Linked DNA regions of Neodiprion lecontei. The protein of the gene in region 1 purifies or fractionates together with the protein of each later gene. This does not show direct contact. Links are inferred from orthologs where the notes say so. Each region holds a gene or a part of one and is shown in the gene's direction. Other genes may lie near its edges. The genes, in order: serine-threonine kinase receptor-associated protein, SUZ domain-containing protein 1 and cold shock domain-containing protein E1.

Region 1 (9,440 bases):
TTGATTATAGCGCATGGTGCTGTTGAAAATTCATGTGCGGTCGCTTCTAAAACTGAAAGTTAATTTTCCACGATCCTGATATACAGTAAGCGATATAAAGCTGTGATATATATAATGCGGCTGCATAAATTCTGTACGATGGTTGTGATAATAAATTTGGCAATGCGCCGGTGAATTTTCGAGGGTCTTTAGAAAAACCGATTACAAAGATAACACAGGCCTGTGATGGTTTTCCCGTGACAAAACTGATTAATAATTTGGTTAGGTATTAGGAACGAAACGATGAAAAATAATTTCTTAAAATTCTATCACATAAATGTTCGTAGAATTTTTTTTACTCTTTTCTTAGTAATACTCGAGTTAACTTCCAATTTCTGTGGTAATTATATGTATTAATTTTAGTGATAATATTTGAATATTCATATACCCTCGCTAGTTGTTGTTTATGGTGATTTTAATCATATTTAGAGTACGTAAGTACAAGAGAAAAATATTGAACAGGAGTTTTGAATGAAATAGAAAAATATATCATAAGTATTTTTGACTTATCTAGACTCTTAAGTCTTCTTTAAAACTAACGCTCTTCATTTGATAACTACGCATTCACTTTTATATTCGTTATATTTTTTCTTTTTTCATAAAAATTGTTCAAAAATCTGCGTAAATATGTATATCTTGGATAAAAATGAATTTCAATGTGCTGCAAAAAAAGCTAGCGCTATATTTTAATTCAACATACCTGATACCTAAAAAAAAGCATTATTATTTTAAGGGTAAATTAAAAGTTATATGTCGCAGGCTTGTGTTATTATTACACGCGTGCAGAATAAGTCACTGCGTGTTGCCACCTGGCAGGCGTTACAACACGCGTGTTCAAAGAACACAAAATTCAAGCTACAATTGCTTCGTCGGTAAATGTACGTACATACGCTGTTATTTTATTAAAAAATATTTCTTCAACTCACCTCCATAGCAACGGTTTCCCGCCAGCCCAACAACCATCAGTAAAAACTTCACGGTCATAATCATATTTGCACAAAATATGAGCCGAAAAACGAAAATAAATATTGGACACAAAAATAAAAAGAAACTACGTCTTGTTCGGTTTTCGTTTCTTTTGTTTTCAAACGAACAACTTTTCCCGCCGTAAGTTTGAACAGATTTATCCGTACAACGTCAAACAGCACAGATTTCTTTATAATACCGTTTTCAAATCACTCGAATTTATCCATTATCGAATTACGTTCGTAAACCTGTACGTCGAATGGCTAATATTATTCATTTGTTTACTACGTTTTTTAAATAATCGTGCACGCTTAGAAGGGGATTCGCCCACAAGCTCCCCTGACGCGAGTCTAAGCCCGACTGCGGAGACGAGAGCTCGAATCTTTCGGTTCTGCAATACATGTTTCGTCCAGTGTGTTTGTGTGCGAATTCGATCACGTGACTACACAATTGCGCCGCGCAGGCGCTTTCAACCCCCGGTAACGCTGCCTGCTTTACGTTCTCGTCTCCAGAGGCGGCAACAACTTTTTTTTCTCACTTTTTCTCACAGATCGTAGTTGATATGCCGTTTCTCTATAATATGATTTTCGTCCTTTTAACAATATCGGTTGAGATAATATTTTCATCTGATTAAACTAATTTATACCATCCAACGTTGATTAACAAGGACGAAGGCTGATCATGTCGATTTAGAGTTAATTGCAGCATGAGTGGAATTACAATTTTTTTTTTTTGTTTTCACCGTCTTTTGGCAATTTCAATTTACAAATTGCTGACACAGAGCCGCATAGCTTCAAATACAACAGATATCGGCGATGCCTGTGTAGCGTTTCTAAGAAAATAAAAAAAAATAAAAAAAAACCGACAAATTTTGCCGTATATTACAGCAGGGCGAAGAGAATTTGCGGAGACGCGGGGTAAATAAAATTTTTGCACGCTGCTGCACGCGCAGCTCAGCCCAGCGTGAAAATAACTGACTGACCAGGTTATACTTTTCGTGTTTTATAACCGTAAGCCTGGACGAAATTTTTTTTTTTTTTTGTTCTCTTTCGTTACTCAAAACTCGACAATTACTCACGGTAGAATCATTTCGACCCGCAATTGCAGAACAACGTTCACGATTTAATCTGAAAATTGGATCAGCGACCACTCGGCGAAAATGATTGTTTCACAGCGTTGACGGTGTTGGGTGGTTTTTTTTTCTTTTGCTGTTTTTTTTTTTGTTTCATTCCGTACCGTTTTCCGCTTTACGCTTTGATTGTTGAAATTGCGTTCTCGAAATATTCCTATAAGCCCGCTGTCACGCACTTGTAAACTGTGTCGTTTATAACGAAAGCTGCGATTAAATATTCACCGAGTCAATACACCGTGCGTATGTTGTTCTATGCGGTACAAAGCCTCTCGCACCGCATTTATTCCCACGCGACTGCGGAGTTTGCTCAGCAGTTCAATTTCGCTGTTCAATATTTTTGTCGCCGACAATTTTACGGGAAGAGGATTAATTAAATTTTTAAAAAGTGTCGCCACAGTGGTCCCGGCGTCTTAAGCAAACCTCTCACTTGTCGTTTTTTTTTTCTTTTATTTTTTCTTTCTTCTTTTTCTTCCAAACATTTTGTCATTTTCTATTCACTCTCCACCGATTCTCACCTCGTTTTCTTTAAACATCCTGAAGAAGTAGAACGAGAAGAAGAAGAAGAAGAAGAAGAAGAAGAAGAAGAAGAAGAAAAAGACAACGAAAAAAAGATGGTATGGACCCGCGTAAAATGGAAAAGGACTTAGGTAGGAAAATATTATTCCTTCGACGATATGGTGTGAAAAAGTAAAACGCTCCGTAGCATCGGAACGAAATAATTTCTGTAATAAAATAGGTGTGCGAGGGAATAATTTTTCATCGATTTACGAATTACGATTTTTCAATTTACGATACATGAAGTATATTTTTTATGACCGTTAATTAACGCTGGGTCTCAGATTCACCCAAGTTATCAGCGAGCGCGAAACTCATGTATAAAATTTGCACGTGTATCGGTGTGTTTTAATTAATATGAAGAACCTCGCAAAGAGTTTCTATCGGCGTGAAGTCAGCCACCCCCCTCTGCATATATTTCTGCAATCTGCTGATACAAATATATATCCTCTTTATCTAGAACATTGAGATTTAATTAAAATAGCTTGCTTTCAGTTACGCATCGATGCCTGATTCGCGATCGGATGCCACGTTTCGCGGCGCTAATTAGATTTCGTTATTATTCTACTTCGTGTTTTACTTCGACGATTAGGCAGACTTTTGGAATATTTTTTCTCCCGTAAAAATGAATAGTCATAAAAAATGACTATTGCGTGTAAATCATTTTTACTGGCGGTGATAAGAATCCATAGAACGATTCGACAGGTCATTATAGCAGATGTAGAATGACGCGTATGAATTCTTTGGATTCTCCGGCGTATGCAGTGTACGGTATATTCGCTTAATTTATATCCCAAATAACCCCGAAACCTAGTTCATTTCTCGTCTAATTTCTTGCAAATAAAGTTTCCCCGTACAGTCCTTCGAAATGAAGAACATTCTTCACTGGCCCGCGGGATATCAATGTCACCGTAATTTTCCGGCCATTCAAATTAAACCCGTTTTCACGCTGACTCGCATTTCAACCCTTGAAATTTTAGAGGCGAGGGGAACCGGAAAAATGATAGGCTTATATTCTCATGTCTTGAGTGAAATCTCTTTAATGCGAACTGCACATGTACGTACATTTTCTCTGTAGTAAATGAAATAGAACTTTTTAATTCTATTTTTAAAGATACATCGGACTGAATAAAATTAAGGAGAACATCTACCCTCGAGTGAATTCTTTCATTTACCTTCCGATCCTAATTTTTTTCGTTATTTTCGTATTATTCATACTATGGACGGTTGTAAATGCGCAAAAAAATCATTTACAATCATCTGCAAGATTGATATTGCATGCAATCGTTTAAAGACCGTCCCTGATCAACCTTATAAGTAATACTTCTTGCACAATTGCAACGTCATTCATCATTCTAGCGAAAAAATACCAAAGATATTTAGAAGATAATTCCAAATCTTTTTTTTAAATATTCTTACACGTACTGAATGCCTTGAAGAACTAGGCATACATTTTTCTAGGATATAACAAACGACTGCAACGCTATCATTTAATTCTTTAAAAACAGTCTTGCGTTAGTCATTTTCAAAGTGCTGTAACACCTTCCTAAATGAATACAAATAATTGTTTAAGGATTCTGAATAATCGCCTATAAAATGCTTGTAAAGTTTGAAGAAAAAATCCGAAAGTATACAAGTCCATTTTCTAAATTTTTTTTTGTTTTTACGGATTGGGGCTCCTGCAGGCAGACAACTGGTATTACTGTCCGCGTTAATGTATATATGGTTGCTAGGTTCCAGGGGTAGCGACCAACTTCGAACTTTCATAATTCTAATCTGGTAAACTTTTTCTCATTAAATCCAGACCTGATCGTGTGTACACGAGTACCATAAACCGGAGCAGAAAATTACCGGAACAAGTTCGCCTTGGGATGCATTATAATCATTGCAGATTCGTTATTTAAAAATGTCACGTTCGAAAACAGCCGAGTCGCACAAAGAGGCTGCCCTGACAGCGTCCTTTCGCGTTGTGTGTGCGCGTCGCGATCTGCGTTTTACTACCGGTTAAAAAATAAAAGACATAGAAGTTGCAGTGTGGGGCGTCAAGTTTGGATAGAAATTTCATGGTCGGTCCATGAAAGCGTCGTCGTTGCACTTCGCAGTTGCAGGGAGGACTGGCGGCCATGATTTCCTGGCCAAAGACCCTGAAGTCTGAACTTGGCTGCGTATCGCGTCGAGTCGAGTCGAGTCGTCAGTCAGTCGGTCAGATCGTTTCGATTATTACCACCGACTACGGGCTTCAAGAATAAGAGACAAGATAGTAAACGTCTACGAGCGTCAAGACGGCGAAGCATCGTGTGCGAGAGGCCGTTGCGTCTCCACAACGAGGAATCGGCGCCGAAAAATACAAAAAAACTTCCAGTAAACTTAACTCTCGTCATTGTGCGTTGATATTTAGTGCGCGCTTTACGGCGACAGCGTGCGTTTCATATCAACACGTTAAAATATAAATGATGGCGAATTTGAGGCAGACACCGTTAACCTGTAGCGGGCATACGAGACCCGTCGTTCATCTAGCCTTTTCCGATGTTACGGAGTCCGGCTACTACCTAATTTCGGCGTGCAAAGGTAAGGATAAATAACGCCTCGATTACGCGCTTATGCGCTTCCGAATCCACTCATTTCTCCCGTCAATCTGGAATTGAATTATTTCTTCATCGTCATATTTCGCCTTTTCGTTAGACACTCTTAGGTTTTACCTGTCATTTATGCCTGTTTTTTCGCAAAATTCCTCTTCTTCCTCAATTCCTTACCCCTCCTCTTCTCCTCCTCTTCAAACAATGTTTTATTTTTTTTTCCCTCTTTCACGCTTTGGCTGTCCATTCCATTCTGGTTCGCCTTGGCCTAGTTTCAAACGATATGCCCAAGGCCCAGGCTACACTCGTGTACAGAGGCACATGCACAAGGTGCACATGGACGCTGCACGCTTTATGCTACAAGCTTTATCAGCGTGTCGGCGAATTCTTGTTGCCAATGAGAAAAAATCAATAAATTAGAAATAAGTTCGATAGAAAAATTTTACAGCCTCATAGCTGAGCGTACCGATTCCTACCTACCTATTGTCGCCAGACGTGTCGCATGCGGGATCATCCCTCACATCTACGGTGTCTGACCCCGAACTAAACCTTAGAAATGCATGCCTAATAATCCCACTCCCCCACCTCTCTCAACGTCGTCTCTATTTTGTATAGAAGAAATTACCACTATATGGCTAAAATCTAGGATATATCATCGTAGTACACATTGACAAACATTCTAGTGAGCCGAATATTTGTAAAATGGGAAGAAAAATGAGTATATGAATATGTCAGCGGTAACAAAATATGAATAATTATTTACAGATGGAAAGCCGATGCTGCGGCAGGGCGACACTGGGGATTGGATCGGCACGTTTGAGGGGCACAAAGGGGCAGTGTGGGGTGTCGCTTTGAACCCACAGGCCACCAGAGCAGCTACAGGCGCTGCGGACTTCAATGCCAAGGTGTGGGACGCGATAAAGGGTGAAGAAATTCACTCCTTTCAGCACAAGCATATAGTTAAGTCTGTCAACTTCAGTTCTGACTCAAATTACCTGTGTACTGGTTCCAATGAAAAGCTAGTCAAAATCTACGATCTAAACAAGCCGGAAGCAACGCCGCAAGTGAGTATAAATTTGTTTGGAATATAAAAATCCAAAGACAATTGGGAAAGTATAACTTGACTACTAATTACGTATTTTATTACCCTGCAGATATTTTCCGGTCACACTAGTGGCATAAGGCATGTAACTTTTTTCAAAAATGATACCGCTTTGGTTACCTGTGCCGATGACAAAAGCCTGCGTTTGTGGGATAGAAACAGCGGGCAAGAAGTGAAAAGACTCGATTTTCCAGCTACACCCAGCTCGATGGAAGTCTCCAGAGATGGCAACATCATTACGACAACTCATTCTAACGTCGTCACGTTTTGGGATAGCAAAGAGTGAGTATTAACCCTCTCTCCGCCCGACTTGGATTCCAAGTTCAATTATAATTCTGCATCGCCGATTGTCGTATGAAAAAAAGTAAATAATCTCTGAGGCAGTCAACAACGCAAGAAATTCCGATTTGCAGCCGTTGAATATTGTAGATTTCATCGGCTCAGAAAAGATTAGAGGTAACGGTACATACCTAACATGAACTTTCATTGCGCTGTATCGAGTGCAACAGGAACAGAGGTATTTGCCATGAAAGATATCCAGCCATTTATGGATGTACAAGGTCTGGTTCCGTGCCAGAGTGGACAGTTTTTACTTTCAAATAATGAAGACCATTTTACTTCCTGATCAGCAATGTCCCTGGCTTGAACAGCCATGGCCTAGAAGGAAGTTGGGCTCTTGTACATTTATTTTCATCTCCTGGTAAAGAGAACTACTTGCAATTGGCACAGGCAACTTGTTTACAACACGAGGAAGGAGAATAATGCATCGGCATTACTCGTTTTCTTTTTTTTTTTCATCTGCCATTTCTTCCAGAATTAGCAGAAAAAATATTGCTGCATTGAAAAGTTTGTATCCTACTCACCTGACTCGATTTGTTGATTGCAGGTTGACCAAGATCCGAGAGTTTATTGTTCCTACTCAAGTGAACAGCGCAAGTTTACATCCAGACTGCAGCATATTTGTATGCGGAGGAGAAGATCTGAAAATGTACAAATTCGATTACAGCACTGGAGCAGAAATCGGTACGGTATTTAACATTTATCAATGTTCCTACTTTACTTCATAAAATTCTTCCCTAAGCGTATAAGTACATTTTCTGTTTACCTACACTCATTATTCATTCTCGCAGCAGCAAACCGCAATTAGTAATTCTCTCATCAGCCAACAACGGAATGACAATACAGAACTGAGGTCACAGCATGCAGCATGCCTGGGCGTTTATAATATAAGGCCATTCTTAAGAGGCTTCAATCCTGTGCCTTATTTCCCCTTGAACTTCGTGCATTTAACTGATTTTTAGAAAAATTCTTCATAGTTTATAGTGACGAAATTTTTCCTCACGATGTGGTGTTTTTTATTTTTTTATGTTTACAGAATCTTTCAAGGGACATTTTGGGCCTGTTCACTGCGTTCGGTTTTCTCCGGATGGTGAATTATACGCGAGCGGATCTGAGGATGGGACGCTGAGGCTTTGGCAAACTACCGTTGGAAAAACCTACGGCCTATGGCGTTGTATCGAACAAACTCCAATGATTCCAGAAAATGCTGTACTCAATAACAAGCAAGAGGTCTCGGCAAGCTAAACGCCATATCTCAATTCATACCTCAGATGATAGTCTTGACCGTTAGATTATTCCAGGATGAATTTTGACGCGGGGATAAACGTCTGGCAACAATAAAAATTCCAAATTCCGTGATAACAGACGCGCGAAATCCTTCAAAATAAATTTTAGAAGAAAACCAAATTATATATCTAATTAATTTGAAGGTTGGTGTCTTCGGAATTGAAAATTTGCTCGTCATCATCAAGCATAAAAGTGTGAAATAGGAGAATATGAAAAATGAACGTTGAGAAACTTGTATTTGTTGGAATAAGTTTCATAATATTCCAAAGCTCTTGGTTGCGTTTGAATATGTTCTCAAGATTTACAGTTATCGCAATCTTAAAAGTTTATTGAACAACCATCAAGCTTCTTTTCAGATTTTACTCATCTCGATATCGTTTCTATTAGAACGGCTTTTCCTAAAGAGCTGAGCGGAAAAGCGATTAAGAAGCAAAAGTGACCTTACGTTAATTCGTGTCATATCGGTGACTCTGTATGAGAAGCTTTTGAACTACGAGTTTGTATTTATTAATTTTTTTCACTTGAATGAGACATGCAGTATAGTTATAATGCCATATAAACTATATTGTACACCTTTTTTTTCAAAAGCAGAAAAATAAAAGAAAATTAAAAAAATTTCCCGTATCGAAGGATAATTCAAACTGTATTTTCGCTTGGGGAAGCTTATGAAGAAATCTTCTGTACATAATATTCATGCTCATATTTATAAGGTCCCGAAAATATAGTTGTAATAATCGTTCGTCTGTACGTTTTTTTTTCTTAAGCACCTCAATGATCTATAAAAAGATGTGAAATAAAAAAGTCTAATAAACAACTGAATCAGCTAAATCATCCTAATCATTGAATTATATTCGTCGTTATGCGTTCGTTAGGGATCTGAATTTTTTTTTTTCATTATCAAGAATACTGTACGAGAATAACATTACTTCCGAATCGTATACGTCCAAAATACAATATGTTACAGTCGAATGAAATCGTATTACATGATGATGAACCGAATAAAGACGAAACTATTACCTGTGTATTTTAGAAAAAAATAATAATTAAAATTTATTATTAATATACACATACACGTGATATCATATCTATGTGTATAGTGTTACTATGAGAATTTGTAGCGGCTTATAGCTATGCGTGTGTATATGTATATATATATTATCTATTTTTATTTAGAAAAACAAAACAATAATTAGGTACAAATTAAAATCTATACAAACAGCGTTCGTTAGTACAATAGAAAACGCTGTAAATAACATTATTATACATACTTTTAATAACATATATTATATAAATTCTAGCACGTGTAACAATGTCCTTATTATAATTTTTATAAGGATATGATATTCCGGATTTTTTTTTTCTCAACCGGATTAAAAGATTGTTGAAAAATAATGAAACATCATTCTGTGGCAGTATTCTGTAGTAGATGCAGCTTTCCTAACAA
Region 2 (7,431 bases), on another chromosome or scaffold:
AGATTGTCTCTTCCTTCTTTAACAGGAAGAACTACAGTCGGTAAGCTCGTGTCTGTGGATTAAAAAAACATTTTCCAAACTTGAATAATTTTTAGTTTGAAATAAAAAGTTCCTTCTTGGAGCTAAGAATTATTCGTTACCTGCTTCTGAGCTCATGAAAAGCAAGATGTTACATCGTTTACCCCAAGTAGCTTTCACGTGACGAGCTTTAGTTTGATGGTTCTTTGGACCAGTCATTACCCAGCAAAGAACCCTAATTTTCTTTGCCATTTCCTGGGCAACCTCATCTTCCCCTTTGTGAAATTCTTCATCAGCTCCGTGAAACTTTACATCCGTTTCTGGGCCTGACTGAAAGTAAAATCACTTTCATTTCATTATATTTCGTGATTTCTTACTCCAATATAATTTCCTAGTTTAGCTTTACATTCAAACCTTACTGTTATACGAGGTAGACAACAAGAATTAAACAGTAACCCTGCACGATGTGAAGAATGTCGGTGAATGATGCCAATACATTACAATTGAGTAATCCTGATCTGATGTGAGATTCATTTTGAATTTCGTATTTAATATAATCAGATACTACAAGTTTTTGGGAACTTTGGATCTAGCTCTACGAGTGACTGATATAATTATTAGCTTTTGTTCCATTTTAGAGTAAAGGAAGTCAAAGTATAACTATGGAGTTAGTAATGCATTTGGGATTGGGTTCTATGACGGATTAGTCAATACCTCTGATTCAAGCTCTGAGTAATGATGAGGATCTCTGGAAGATAACGCAGGGCTGCCAGTGATCCAGTTAAACATGCGAGGAGCATCATTTGTTGCTGCAAGAAGGAAGCAAGCCGAAAGAAACCCGAAAACCATTCCTGTAGCAAGTGTCAGTACAAATCGTCGACCACCACGACCACCTAATATCAGTAATAATAAATATTCGTAGCACCTTAAATCCACCACCTCCGCCATCTTCATTGTATTTAATGTCAGAGTAGAGGACTGTGCAGTTTACGATCTTAACGTTGCACTTGACAATGTTTTACATATCTACAAAAGTACAGGCAAAGTGGTATAACGAAACAAGGCCTTGAGAAAATAATTGCAATTCTAGTTATAGTTCTTCCAGATTCACTGGTATTTTGGTTTTTGATTCTGGTGACTTACCGTGTAATGTTAGATAAATGTTTCTGAACAACTTACCATCTAGACCCGGTATCCATTGCTGTCCCATAATAGAGAATTTTTTTTACCCAATGTTTACGTTAGCCCAAAACAAAATGTAATTCCATGAAAATCGCGTATGTAGTGCAAGAGATAATCATTGTTGGGTATGGATACACAAGTAGGCAATCTATTTGGTCCACTGCCAAATCTTCACGTAAAAGTTCTCGCTCTCTGTGTTTGGAGTTTGGAACTAACTGTAAATATTGAAAAAAATAATTATCAGCTTTATCACAAAATGCACTTAATCAGTGCTTCAAAAAGAAACTACATCCTGTGAATCAGTTCATATGTATCAACGGTTTTTTATTACTTTCATGAACCAATTGATTACGACGAAAAATAATCAGTTCCAAAAACGAATTCAAAAACTCAGGATTTACATGTAGAAAATAGAAAAACTAAAAATCTCTGATCATATTAATAACAACAATAACACTACGTCCAGTCATCAGTCTACAAGGTTTAGAAAGTGGAAATGTGTCGTTCAGCAGCTCATCAAAGTACTTTTTGCTTAGACAAGCACATTTTACAGATAGCAAAATATAATTCTATTCGACATTAAGACTGCATACCTGTTGTGGAATTCAAAAAAACCGTATGAGAAAAATGTGTGTACCTTCAAATCAGTTTTTTTCTACCGTTAATATTAATTTTTTTTCCTTTAATTTCTTTGTTTATCAGTAGATAAAAGAGAAAAAAATAAACCCCCCCCCATGAATGTGCATTAAGTGTTGTATAAATACAATCATATTCATTGAGCAAGTTTCACAATTTATTTTTTGTGATTGAGTATAGCACATTTATATTCCTCAAATACTATGATTGAATTTGGTTTTTGATGTCTATAATTGAATTTATTTGCACAAGTCTGTGAACCTGTACTACACTTATAAATAATTTACACCATGTGTACAATAATGTTTCCTTGCAGCAAAAAGTTTTTTTATAGGGTAACATAATATGCATCGTAAACCGACTCTTTATCGCAATTGAACAAATAACTAATAAAGTATATACATTGGTTGATTTATCGAAGAATAACAAATGATAAATATTAGGACACTGAGTTGTGTGCAGCTTATTCGAAGGTGTACATTTGTACAATATATTAGTATGGTTTTCCTCGAGTTTACCTACTGGAACTGAAAAACAGTTCTGAAGAAAATATTAAAGAATGGAGCTAATTTGGAGTCTGATGAACAAGAATATATTCCATTGGGCTCTAATTATCGTTCCACGAGCACATTTTCTGAACATGCGTGATGATAAAAAAACGCGATAAGACAGACGTAGCAGGACGTTGTACTACGAGAGTGATAGAAACTATAAAAAGGGGTGTTACAATCGGCATAAAATAGCCTCATAAAGAAATCAATAATTTATTACTTCTTAGTGGCAAACACACCGTCACACGTGATTTCTCGAAACCGGACTCTCATTTTAATTCGCGAGGACAGATATTCGTCCGACCCTAGCAATTAAATCATGAATAATTACCAAAGGTCAAAATTTACGTACCGGCACTGAAAAATGTGTCAAAACACTTTCCTTGCAGCTGACGTTCCGTTTCGCATTTACCGATTTACTTCCCTATAAAATTCTACGGTATTTTACCGATGAGCTAATTACAAGATTTATACAAGTTTTCACGATCTGGAAAGAGAAACTGCAAAATATTACTCTATTCCATATCGTCGACTTTCCTCCTCTTTTTCACTTTATTTACGAGAAACGGCATCATAAATGAACATCAAACACGGACAACAGCCCGCGAGAGACTGGAGTGGACTGGAGCACTGGAGAGCAGGAGAGACAACAGACTCTAGTGGAACTACTAGTGGTCTGAACATATCCGAATGAGGAAGTAAGAGAAAAGGAGACGAACCTTAAGCTCTCTGCCTCAAGCCTGCGTGCTAACAAAAATTGGACCTATTTTAGAAGCAGAGATAGTAGTACCGATTTTTGCCACTCATTGCGTTCCTGTTCTTTGGTCATTCGAAATATGTAAACCATATAATAATCGTAACATTTAAACGACTAAATAACTCAAATAAAATCGGCACTATTAACTCTGCGCTGAAACCTGGCCCAACTTGGTATTTCGGAGTTTCGTCTCCTCTCGAACTTCCTGGTCTGAACCAATATGGTCTGAACTTCCGCAGACACGAGATGCCGCAAGTGCAGAACAATTGGGGATGGGTTAATTGATTAAATCCAAGCTAGATAATTATAAGGGAAAAAATCTAGTTGCCGAATGAATAACAATTTTTGGAAATCGAGGAAATTCTTTACGATTCGAATAATGTAATTCGTATGTAATGAAGCTATGGGAATTTTGTGCGGGCCGCGTGAAAACCGTAACGTTGGCTAACTTGTCGAACAAACCGCGACGAGTTCAGAGTGTTGAAAACTTTTATGAGGGGCATACGGAGCCTTTTCCTCTTTTTTTAACTGCTTCTAAGTCTGGTGGTGCGCTCGTCGTCGTGTCACAGATTTCGTTAGCTGTTCGGAAGATCCTAATATCGCCAGAAGCGCCCGTAATGTCAGCTGTCGACGATGTCTACGAAAGCTGGGAAGAAATGGAGGAATCCGGGGTGAGCGTATGCTGATGTACAATATCAATTCGGAGCCATGCAACTTCAGTTATATCCGACACGCACCCCGTATACATTCTTCCGTTCGAGACCACTCACTTTAACCTATATTTTTCTTAAAATCTTCCCCATTATCCAGTTGCACCATATCTAAAAGTATATCGAAATCTCTCTATTGCATGCATCCTTTTACCCGGAGATCGTTCAACAATCCGGAACAAGTCCAGTCACTTTGTCATCAGGCATGTATTATTTTTGGTTCCCATTCGCGTTCATGTATATGCAAACACCCACACGTACACATGGACACACCGCACACCTGCGTACAGGTGAATCGTGTCATTTCCGAAGAGTTTGATATAAAAAAAGGCAATGTCGGGAATTCGCATTAAGAAATTGCATATTTGCATGCGTATACCTATGTTTCAACTCATGAACACCACATTATGCCAGCGACATGGATTCGTCAGACACTGATAGCATACCCCAGCATCTCCGTTTACCTATATATATCTGGTTGCAACTATACCGATATAAAAAATATTTATTCCTCTTGTAGATACGCCAGACAGTAAAGAAAAAGAACATATACATAAGAATAACATGCAACTTCTAGTACCCGTGATATGATAAATGAACTGAAATGAAGACAAGTTTAGCACGCTTTACAAACAGACTATTGTAACGTAACTCGGTGCAGTACTCAAGGGTTAATGTTTTAGCCAGCGACCACAAGTTACATCCTCTACAAAAATATTTTGCAAGAGAAAGTGTGATATTCTCATCTCTCACTTGAATGATGATGATAGATGATGACTTTATGCTGTTGCAGGTGCTGGACAAAAAGTTGAAGGCACTAAAATTGAATCCCTTGGAAGGTCTGGACGATGTTGAACCCCAGAGGTAATATATTCAAATTTTCGAAAATATGTTTTGTTTCATTATATCGTTGCCTAATCTCAGTTGGCACAGCTTAACAGGTACTGAAAATTCAAGTACAAGGATGATAATCCTTGGTGAAGATAGCTTGCGCACTCAATACGTCCCTCCGAAACCTACAGTGAAGATCCTCAAGAGGCCAGCAAGGCATTCCCAAGGCAGCGGAGACGGGCCTCTCCTCAATGGAGATGGCAAACCGAAGCAGCCGATAAAATCCCTAAAACAGGTATATGTCGATCCGCATTTCCAGAAAGTCTCTTTTTCACTCATTACAATCAGCCTTTAAGACAAAAATGAATCAGTCTAATTTCCAATTAAACTAGTAATTATTTGACATAAACAAAATCTAGCAGAAACAACTTTCTTCAATTGATGGAGTAACTTTTAGAGGGAGCAAGAATATGCAGAGGCACGCAAACGTATTCTGGGAGAGGAAAAAAGTCCAGAAGAGAAATCGGTCTGCGAAGTAAACAAGATCCAGCCAAAGCCACCGAGTCCTCCAGGGAGTAATCTCCCTACAAATGTGCTACGGATGCCAATTGGCCCTGATGGAACCCGAGGTTTCCATGTCCGCAGGTAGCGCTGTTACCAGGGTTTTTCCCTCGTCACCCATCTTTATCCTCTTGGTCCCTCCCCTGCCCCAGGGGAGGCGGAGAGGCGGCTATGAGGCCGACCGCAGAATTCTGAAAGCAGCTTCGCGCTTCTTGGCAACTGAGAGCGTGACGTCCTTGGAAACAACAAGGAGTCTGCTTGGATCTGCGTCCAACAGGCCACAGCGCACCACCGCATATTGCACAGCGCCGAACACACGTACCAATAATATCAAATACTAATTACATAATAACGTGACACTGTTGCCAAAAAAGAAAAGAAAAGAGAAAAAAACTACACAAAACAAATATTCACATAATACCAATTCGACATTGTTTTTACTAAGTTTTTTTTTTTTATTTTCATTTTCTCGTTTCTGTTACAAATGGACCAGAGGTTCTTGATTCAAATGGGATCGTCAGAACTAGGAAAAAAATTTATATCTCTTCTGAATAGCGGACGAAAGATGTAGAAATTCGTTTCTTCTTGATCGGGATGCTTGACAAGAATATTCTTGCTGATATCGAGAACTCTAGTACATAATACCCTCAATAATATAAAATATTCCTGTTGTATTACTATTGATATTCCAATTAATCTCCAACCTCCAGCAACATTTTAATATTTTGACTAATTTTAAGCTAGAAGTAGCATGATTCGTGGAAAAAATCTTCGGCATAATACCGCGGTTCGAAATTTGTCCTTATTCAAAATTTATTGTACACAATAATATTGACGAAACAATCTGGTATAAAATTCTACCCGCAAATTTTTTATACTATTCCATTATCCATGTTGTGTATTCCATTGTACGCTTGAGCGGAGTTTCAAGTGCAAAATTATTGATTGAGTTTTATTCAGATCTAAGCGGTAGGAGCGTGTCGGTCTGAAATACATATAAGGATTCGTGGCCTAAATAAAATTGTAGCCAATTCCGAAGTGCGAAATGTTACTATGAGCACGGTTTTACGTAGAGAGTCTACTCAAATCTGAGATTCGGCGCCGGAAGTAAATAAGTTTGTCCAGAAAAACGATAGTCTCGCTTTGCTCGATTGGTTACTCTCGAAAATCGATTAGTCCAGGGAACTTCCTGTACCTTCTGCGCCTGCGGAATCTTTCTTTCGCTAGCGATAACCGAGCGTGAATGTCGCTGTGGTAAACAAAATATAAATCGCAGGTAATCCACAAAACTGTTCTGCATCCGAAGTGGAAATAGATTAATTACGTTACAGTTACCTCTGTTGTGTGTTTATACGTCTTTATTCCACGTTCTTTCTCAAATACCCATCGTGTACGCGATTCCTGGCCAACAGGCCGGAGCATTCAACTCGTGATGTTCTGTGTTCGTGTTCTCGTTAATTGAATATTGTGAAATAATTTGTTCATGAAAAAGTTACAATTTAATCTTTGATATTTTGCATAGCCTAAGCCTGTCTGATCGTTCTGATATTGATGTCACCAAATCCGATTACTGTTGTGTTACTCTTTTTTTTTTTAGGTTATGTTACTGTCATCATGATCTTGGGTGACGCGAGTCTCTTTTCTATACGATAATTTATAATCACTGAGCTATTTCAGAAATCACAGCACTGATTCTCTACCAAAATACTTATCGTTATTCGTACACTTTCTCAGTTGTCAGCTAACTAATGGCAACTTGTTTCAAATAAAGCAGGTAGTATTAAGCTCAATACTCAACAACCATATTTTTATTTCCAGCCATGGTGCGTATGAACGTTCTTAGCGACGCGCTCAAGTCGATCAACAATGCCGAGAAACGTGGCAAGAGGCAAGTCCTGCTTCGCCCTTGTTCCAAAGTGATCGTAAAATTCCTCACAGTCATGATGAAGCATGGTGAGTACTTCAAGTTTACGTCCATTCAAAATATATAATTCTAAGTGCTTGATATGGTGAAACTGTGCTAACTTTCTCGGTATGACATTTACTCCTAAATATTTCTTTGAACAATGTACTTTTTGTATCACCTAAGTAATGCAAACAACTTAATTTTGAATAGGCTTTATTTTATATTGTATTGTGTCTCTTGGCAGTTGACTAAAGTGGTAGTTTTATTCTTGAGTAATTT
Region 3 (7,843 bases), about 3.0 Mb from region 1:
AAATTTAAAAACTTAAATATTATCAATATTCCATTCAGCTTTTGCAATGAACAAATTTTATTCCTCAACACTAGTTAGTGAATTATAATCACTGGAGTCACGAATTGTTTTTTTCTTAATATATCATTATTATAAGGTTTCATCATTTAAAAGTATATGTCTTATGTTTTTGGTTTTGGAAACGGTATCGTCAAACATAACTTAGGAAGACTATATAATCATTCAGTGAAAGTGGAGTAAATTTTAGAAGTATGGAAAACATCGTTCTGGAAACGGGAATTCTCAGGGTACTTTTGATTTCACAGCACATTCTGGTTAATGATGTATTTGAAATTTTTTTTCTATTTACAAAAAAATTTTTCCCTGTAATATACTGTATTCATTTAGTTTCATAATTCATAATATATTAGTATTTAAATTTTTCATATGATTTAGGAAATTTAACAAGTTCAGTTACTTCCATCAGATAGCTTACAACCATCTCATTTCATATCATGTGATTTTAATTTGACTTAGTGATTTGAAATGTGAATGCCTTGAAAAGAATGGTTGAAATTCAGCTCTCAATTTTATCCACAACCGCATCCACCACATGGTCCCGGAGTGTAAATGTTGGATGATCCTGTATTTGGTCTCCCAAGTCTGCGCGAAGGTGGACGTGGTGGACTAAATACAAAAAAAAATCTCAAACTTGCTCTTAGCACAAATCAATTCTGATGCATATCTTGTTCGAAATGAATGTGTAATTCTGTTAATTCAGATAATGAGTGACAATAAATAGTCATTTTTGTCTGCATTGAGTTCTAGTTCACCAATCACGTGGAAGATTCTAAAATAAATTCTCTGCTTTGCCTACATTGATTGTCTAATCCTGTTCTGTATCAGATCAATGCAGTATAAACATGGCCAATAAAAAAAACAAGTCAATCACTAGATCACAGTCAACTGATACAATCGATCATCTTAAATTTCATTAAACTGGTGTAATAAGAGTAATATTCATTGCAATAAAAGTGATTAATAACACGCTTTTGTGCATGAAGTAGTGATGTTAAAGTACCACGACTATGGTGTACGAACATGCCATGAATACATACATAATTTACAAAAAGTATAATTCTTTTTTCTTAACTTTGAATTGCATCATCCATTTCATTTTACTGAAGCATACTGTACATAGCATAATTTAATAACGATAGAAAGTCTTAAGCTAAATAAATACTGTAATGTACCCTGAGCCAGGCCTGTAGTCCCTTCTGTATGTGCCCTGATTGTACGAATCCTCAGATGTTCCAACAGCGTTTAAAACAGGGCTGACGAATGACTTGAAACTATAAATATATAAATTCTATCATCATGAGAAATTATACTCGTATCATTCAGAATTAATAATATAAATTTATATCAGTAACCAACTATAGTACCACAGGAATCCATTGTTGGTCGGCTTAAAAGTTTGTGACCATTCAAAGAATGAAAGTATCCAACCAAATATATTGAAATAGCTTCTTCTATTTATATCACATTCAAAATTTTGAGATGGACGTACCTAACTGTCTTTAATTGTTAATTTATATCGGCAGTGATCGGATTGTGAATCTAAGTATGAGGTCACAAAATTCTGTCAATGGATTTTGCTTTCTTCAATACCTCTGAAGAATGTAACAGGTTTGACAGCGATTCTTTTGATGCAATTATTTATTTATTTGCACACCTGTTTTTAATAGCAGGTGTGTAATAAAAATATGAATAAGAGTTCTGTACTACATAAACTTTTTTTTGCATGCTGGTAATAAATGGTATAGGGCAATTCTTGATTGATAAACAAAATTAAAGCATGTTCTAGCTGCAGAACATAACCTCGAGTATTGGCTGGATCAAAATATTGTCAAGGGAAGTTACACACTTGTAATTTATAAAAAATTCTGTTTTTCAATCAAAAGTTTACCGTTGGATCAGAATGACGAATTAACTTGAAACAGTTTCCTCGGGCCTGTTAATAATCATATCACAAACGTTCCAAAAGTGGGCCTACCTACTATCCGTTTGCAGTGGTTAGATGGGTTTTTTCTATTCAAAAAGGGGGGCTCTTAGGATGCTTAATGTCATTATTACTTACAACATGAAAAACATGTAGAAAATTCCCAAAAAAAATGAAACCAGTCTACGCGGCCAGGGTTCAGTCTGGAGCACAGATCCATCTGAGAATTGGTATAAAATTTTTTACGTTATATTTGGGTTTTTGACATTTTAATATTTATTTTCGATAATTGTCAATATATCGTTTACCTTGAGAAACGTAAGCCATGTCGCACTCTTGGAGGTTCGCGAACACTTGTCAGTTATCACTTTCTCAGCGACGTCTTTCCGTCACCTGCTGTCATTTGCCACTATTGGTGACCTCTCGTATGTAGAAATAATGGGATGATGCCACGCGGGAGTTACTTCATGGCTTACTCGATGCATGTAGTAGAATCACTAGCAAAACGGATCCGTCATGTTTGGTATCCACAGCGTCCCGCTGGTGACTGCGAGTTAAGGCTTTAAAAAGTCATAAAATTCAAATTCAAATTTGATTGAAACGTGAAATAAATAATCAGCGTACTCCAACAAAAGTAACACTATTATTTATGAATGCAACTTTACAATCAGGTAAACTACAATGCCTTATTCATTTATTTTTTTTAAATCAGAGTTTCAGCTCTTGAAAGTTTTGGCTCACGGCCACCTAACATCGAGAATAAGTAGCCGTAAAATATTAAATCTAATTAATCAATTTGTCCATAAATGTTTACGCCGACGTCACCAGTGTTCATACACTTCAAGGGTCCTGGCATCCACTCTATCCCATACTCTTTGGGTCCTGGATAATCGATGTATCTCAAGAAGGCTGTGGTTCCGAATCTCTCCGCAGTTGCTCTTGTTTTGTATGTGAATGCTAAATGTTGACATTCAACATGGCGGCATGTCGTCAGTGCTGTGCTGTGTCGTGGTGAGTTTTGTAAAAAAATTTAAGATTATGTGTCTTCGTTACTTTAAATCTAGTTTACAATGTTTTATTATACAACTTTTAGTACTCTTCAGTAACGCTGCGGCGAGTCTCAATACAAATCAAGTAATATGATATACCAATTAACGGAATGTAGTTAGAAAAAATCTAAATACTCCACAATGAAGCACACACAACACATACATCGGTACAATATTTTGTGAAACTTTCGACTATAAATCAACATACGCGTATCTAAATTGAATTGTTCTGACTGACTAACTGCCGTTCCATCATGGACATTTTACTAACGTACTTTCGTGTGAGGTCAATCATACACCGTTTCTGTGGCCAGGTTGACACTGCTTGCTCCAATTTCTTATACAGCTACTAAAACTAATACAGTTACTATAGCGTTTTGTGCTTGATAAGCACGTTGTAGTTTATCAAATGAGTCAAATGATTTGCATGTCCAATAAGTACTCCGAAAGTAACGTATCCTATTTACTTACATTTTTTTCTAATCACTACCAGTTCACGTCAGTTGCGTAGCCCGCATATCCATTACCAAATAACTTGCAAACATTGCATTCACGACAAGCTCTTGTAATCTACCAAATATTTCGCAATGTTGTTGCTACTATTTCATTGGCTTGAATGTATAACAAATTAAATAATTTCTGATAATGAGTAATGTTTGGTAATATAGATTGAGTCATTTTACATTTGACAGAAAGAGAATTGGTGAAACAATACACTTTTCACAGTTGTTAAATAAATGTATCATCTGCTTCAAAGATAATACCATCTGTCACTGATGTTGTCTAAGATTCAAACGATGACGATGCTCATACTGTTCTAAGTAGCACAGTATGCCAACCTACATTCGCTTTCAATCTATTGAGAGTTCCTTTAATACTTTATTTCAAATTGAATTCAAGAGCAAAGTGCATTTCCAGGTTCTTTTTTATATTACTTGTGTTTGAAATGTCATTGGAGCAAGCAAAATAGGCTAAGTTGAATATTTGCATTCACTTATATATATGCGAAATTTCGATGCAAACCTGTTTAAAGTGGTCCTTGATGGCGCTCATGTATCAAGACATCTCGGCAAAGATTGAATTAAATTTACAAAAACTTAGAACACTTCATGCAACTCATATTAGATGATGACCATTCCCATTGCTTAATCAGTCACTTAAGTACGTTTGTTTACCTAGATTCGAAATTCAGGTTACTACTGGTATAATTTGTAAGATTCACTCATCATATTCGTCGACGATAATGTAAATTATTGCCAAAAAATCAGAGATTTCTGTTCACGAAAATCTGGAAATTTAAGTTTTTATCTTCAAATGTTTGCCATATCGAATGAGTAAAGATATTTCATGTTTAAGATCCAGTCGATATAATAAGCTGATAGAAGTTACTTATTTCCTATAAATGTTGTCTAATTAACCTGCAATTACTGAACACAGAAAAATCTCAGTTTTTTGATTACTCTTGATTAACTCTGTTTTTTGTCAGCAATGTTTAAAATTTAAATGAACGGGCAAAATTATTCCTTAAAATTTTGGCAACAGGAATCATAAATTAATGTTTTTCAGCCCCTCCCCTACACAAATTTACCATATCAAATTGTAACAATCAATCACTTTTTGGCAACAATATCTCTATTATGTGTAGAAAAGGAATAGCGTATAGCCGACTCTCTCGATAGTGCCTCTCGCAATAGGGCCACTTCCCTCAGCAGGATTTCCCACTATTCCAGTTGAATATAGCGTAGCCACAGTTTTGCCAGATACTCTCGCAATACGGCCGGCAATGAAAGTAAATTGTTGGAAGAAAACAGCATAGCCCTTACAGATTTTTGATGGCCCTATTGCGAGAGGCTCAGTTCAAAGCGATATAAATCTACCTCAAGTTCTTTAGTGGAGGTATGCAAATTCTTAGAAATATCATACCCTACACCCCCATAACCGACGCTGTACTTAGAAAATTGAAAAACTTCAAGCACTGAGTTACTAGAAATATTAGAAAATTGTGTAACAGAAAAGCAGGGGCAACCCTGTAATCCCATTCCTGGAAAGTTAGACAAACAATAATTGATGAAGTTTGTAAAGTCAACATAATGAAACATTATTCTCTCTAAACCATTTTTTTGCAACCTCAGAATTACTTTTAAGAGGCTGAGTTTGCAAAATATGAGTTTAGCTTGCTTTATTACAATTTACTGAATTTCAGGCAATACTAAGCTTTCAAAACTGTTTTTCGATTTACTGTTTTATTTCTGACTTTTATCCAATTTTTCGTGCTCAGATTCATCATAGGCATGGTCCATTATAAAAACGTTTAATTCAGTGTACGTAAACGTTAATTTTATCTACTCGTGTTCTAAAGATTTGCATAAATTCTTTTCACCATGTCAATTAGAGAACAGCTCAAATCACATCACTCTGTGTGACTAGCAATACGTTGTAATTTGAGCACATTTATTCAGAACCACTCATTTTTTTAAGTCAGTCTGAAATACTCAAAATACTTCTAAATTTTGATTATGCATCAAGTACTGTTTTTTCTATTTTATCAGCAACGTGAATCATATGACAATTTTCGACACTGTATTATCTAAACATAAATTTTTGACTTTATGCACAAATCCCACATGCACATGATTTTAACAGACACTACGTGTGAATTATTATACCGTGTGTCGCATATGCTAAAATGGTAGGAATTCAGTGTTCCATCAAAACAGACAAAAAATTTTACCCAACGTGAGAACTGACACTGTCAACAAGCTAAAACAGTACACACATTTCTACATTAATGCTTTCTGAAAACATATCGCCGCTAATCATCGTGTTTTCCGTTCATTCAGTTCATTTCTATTTTCTGATCTAGATTATTGCGCTCGAATTTCCAGAGACATCCTATCTATAGTGGCGTGTTTTAAGACGATGATGAAGCATTAAAGCAAAAAAAATTGTTAGTTTTAAGAATATTGGTGAACTTTTGTTTTGTTAGGACAAAAAAAAACAATTCCAGCAATTCCAAAATTTATTTTAATGATTCTGCTAAAAGAAAAAACTATCACAACGAATGAAAACTGTTATAAACAAACTCCTCTTGGTCTAAAAATATTTGAAAATAACAATACTCCAGTTCAATATCTACTTCAACTACTATCCAAAGTATCTTTGATGTAGTATTCCTAAGATTAGATAATATTGGTGTAGTTGATTCATGATTGTATTATTTTTTTTTGTTCCAGATTGTGTAATTGTTAGTTTAGGATATTTTTGAAATCAACGCTCACTGTAAATTCCACATTTAAAAGCTGAAGAAGAAAACGATACTCTAGAATTATTGGAACGACACAACCACACTCAGCACGCATTGAAGACATCTGAGGATTTTCAAGCCAACATTTATCCTTTAAATCTCCAATGTTTTTGATTTATTCCTTTTATAAAGGATGACTGATGTTTAAGAAAAACACAGTTATTCTCGAACAAGCTAAATTTAGTAATTATCAAACAGTTGTTATGATATTATTAATGCAAAGATTCGTGGAAAGTATTGTTCGTATGATATGATGTGTTAAAATATTTTGTACACATATTAATCATTCGAAATACTCATGCTAACCGTATTGTTCGTTTGTAAACTGTGTATGCAACCCGCTTAATGAAAAGGAGCTAGGTACTCTGCGTAGTGGTGACCCTGCGATTGTGATTGCTGCCTTGGCTGGGATTGTGCTAATTTGATCTGTTAATGGGACAAAAGAATTATCCACAATTTGAGAGTGCCAAGTTTGCTAAGAATAAGAACAGCCGTGGTAGTTCTCGTTAAACAATCTACCACAATTAACAAGATACCCGTGTCACCTTCCTCCCTAGTTGCCGGTCACAAGAGAATCTGCATTTCAGCAGCGTTTCCAAACAAAAGGAAAAAAAAAAAAAAAAAAACACGCCTTTCTCCCTCTTTGTTAAGTTCTTGTAACGTTGTAATAGTAAACAAATATATAAGGTACCAAGAACCATTCTGTGATATCTATGTTAACACTTAAATAATTGAAAAGACTAAAAGTTCTAAATATAAGTATATATATTGCAAAGGAGCAGAAGCGAAGACAAAAAACACAATTTAAAAAGAAAAAAAAAAACGACAAAAAAAATAAATAAAATAAAAACGAAAACAAAAAAATTCAAAAGAAGATTTAAAAAAATTAAATAAAATAATTCAAAGTCAAATAATAAATTACCTATAATCGATTGACGGAGATATTTAAAATTAACATAAGAAGAGAACAAAAAAAAAAAAACATAAAAACGTTGAAAATTTCAAATAATGTCCAATAATCCTCAGTGGAAAACGTTCCAGCCGCCAATAATGAACTCCGACCCAGCAATACTTGACTACAAATCCATGACCATCCCAAGTCCTAAGGTTGTAGGAGCGCCACACCAATCAGGCGGCGGATACCGCAATGGTACCGGTTACAGCGGAGATCACTTCATGGGTTCACCTCCTAGCTGTGGAAAAAATTCGTCAAGTTATGTAAATTATCCTAGTTCGCAGACATCACCACGTAACGGCACAACTAGATTTCCAATTGGCACGTTCACTGGTATGGAAGGAGGTATTGGTTACACAGGAGAACCTACGACCAATAATTCGTCTTACCAAGATCAGTCCAACAACCAAGGCACCCGTGAGACTGGAATAATCGAAAAATTATTGGTGAGTCATCATGATCAGCCTCGTCGTACTGTTACGAATGTATTACGGTGTCCGATTTAGTAAAGCTTGAAACTGTTGTGAAATTATTTGACGCTTGCCTTCAGTGTA

The links.
Region 2: the proteins of serine-threonine kinase receptor-associated protein (region 1) and SUZ domain-containing protein 1 purify together in Homo sapiens (co-immunoprecipitation; 3 studies listed by BioGRID and IntAct, counting the BioPlex papers as one, with this or other methods). This does not show direct contact. The link is inferred for Neodiprion lecontei from reciprocal best matches to the Homo sapiens genes STRAP and SZRD1.
Region 3: the proteins of serine-threonine kinase receptor-associated protein (region 1) and cold shock domain-containing protein E1 purify together in Homo sapiens (affinity purification with mass spectrometry; 3 studies listed by BioGRID and IntAct, counting the BioPlex papers as one, with this or other methods). This does not show direct contact. The link is inferred for Neodiprion lecontei from reciprocal best matches to the Homo sapiens genes STRAP and CSDE1.

Annotation. Positions count from the first base shown.
Region 1 is NC_060261.1:3,933,645-3,943,084, reverse strand, and holds serine-threonine kinase receptor-associated protein, read left to right. Parts: upstream 1-4,653; 5' UTR 4,654-5,142; coding exon 5,143-5,260; exon of another isoform or gene 5,261-5,327; intron 5,328-5,391; exon of another isoform or gene 5,392-5,655; intron 5,656-5,748; exon of another isoform or gene 5,749-5,796; intron 5,797-6,033; coding exon 6,034-6,332; intron 6,333-6,422; coding exon 6,423-6,652; exon of another isoform or gene 6,653-6,705; intron 6,706-6,840; exon of another isoform or gene 6,841-7,027; intron 7,028-7,233; exon of another isoform or gene 7,234-7,256; coding exon 7,257-7,393; intron 7,394-7,745; coding exon 7,746-7,954; 3' UTR 7,955-8,586; downstream 8,587-9,440. UniProt on the Homo sapiens protein: The SMN complex catalyzes the assembly of small nuclear ribonucleoproteins (snRNPs), the building blocks of the spliceosome, and thereby plays an important role in the splicing of cellular pre-mRNAs.
Region 2 is NC_060264.1:3,068,970-3,076,400, forward strand, and holds SUZ domain-containing protein 1, read left to right. Parts: upstream 1-3,843; 5' UTR 3,844-3,994; coding exon 3,995-4,057; intron 4,058-4,127; exon of another isoform or gene 4,128-4,150; intron 4,151-4,233; exon of another isoform or gene 4,234-4,270; intron 4,271-4,647; coding exon 4,648-4,718; intron 4,719-4,778; coding exon 4,779-4,980; intron 4,981-5,104; coding exon of another isoform or gene 5,105-5,142; coding exon 5,143-5,334; 3' UTR 5,335-5,920; downstream 5,921-7,431. Other genes in the region: glycoprotein-N-acetylgalactosamine 3-beta-galactosyltransferase 1, read right to left, coding at 1-52, 141-348, 733-911, 1,198-1,228; 40S ribosomal protein S15Aa, read left to right, coding at 7,067-7,199.
Region 3 is NC_060261.1:6,943,644-6,951,486, forward strand, and holds the start of cold shock domain-containing protein E1, read left to right. Parts: upstream 1-2,882; 5' UTR 2,883-2,992; intron 2,993-3,018; exon of another isoform or gene 3,019-3,115; intron 3,116-3,177; exon of another isoform or gene 3,178-3,197; intron 3,198-6,263; 5' UTR 6,264-7,342; coding exon 7,343-7,735; intron 7,736-7,843. Other genes in the region: selenoprotein K-like, read right to left, coding at 570-666, 1,233-1,331, 2,120-2,201, 2,290-2,308. UniProt on the Homo sapiens protein: RNA-binding protein involved in translationally coupled mRNA turnover.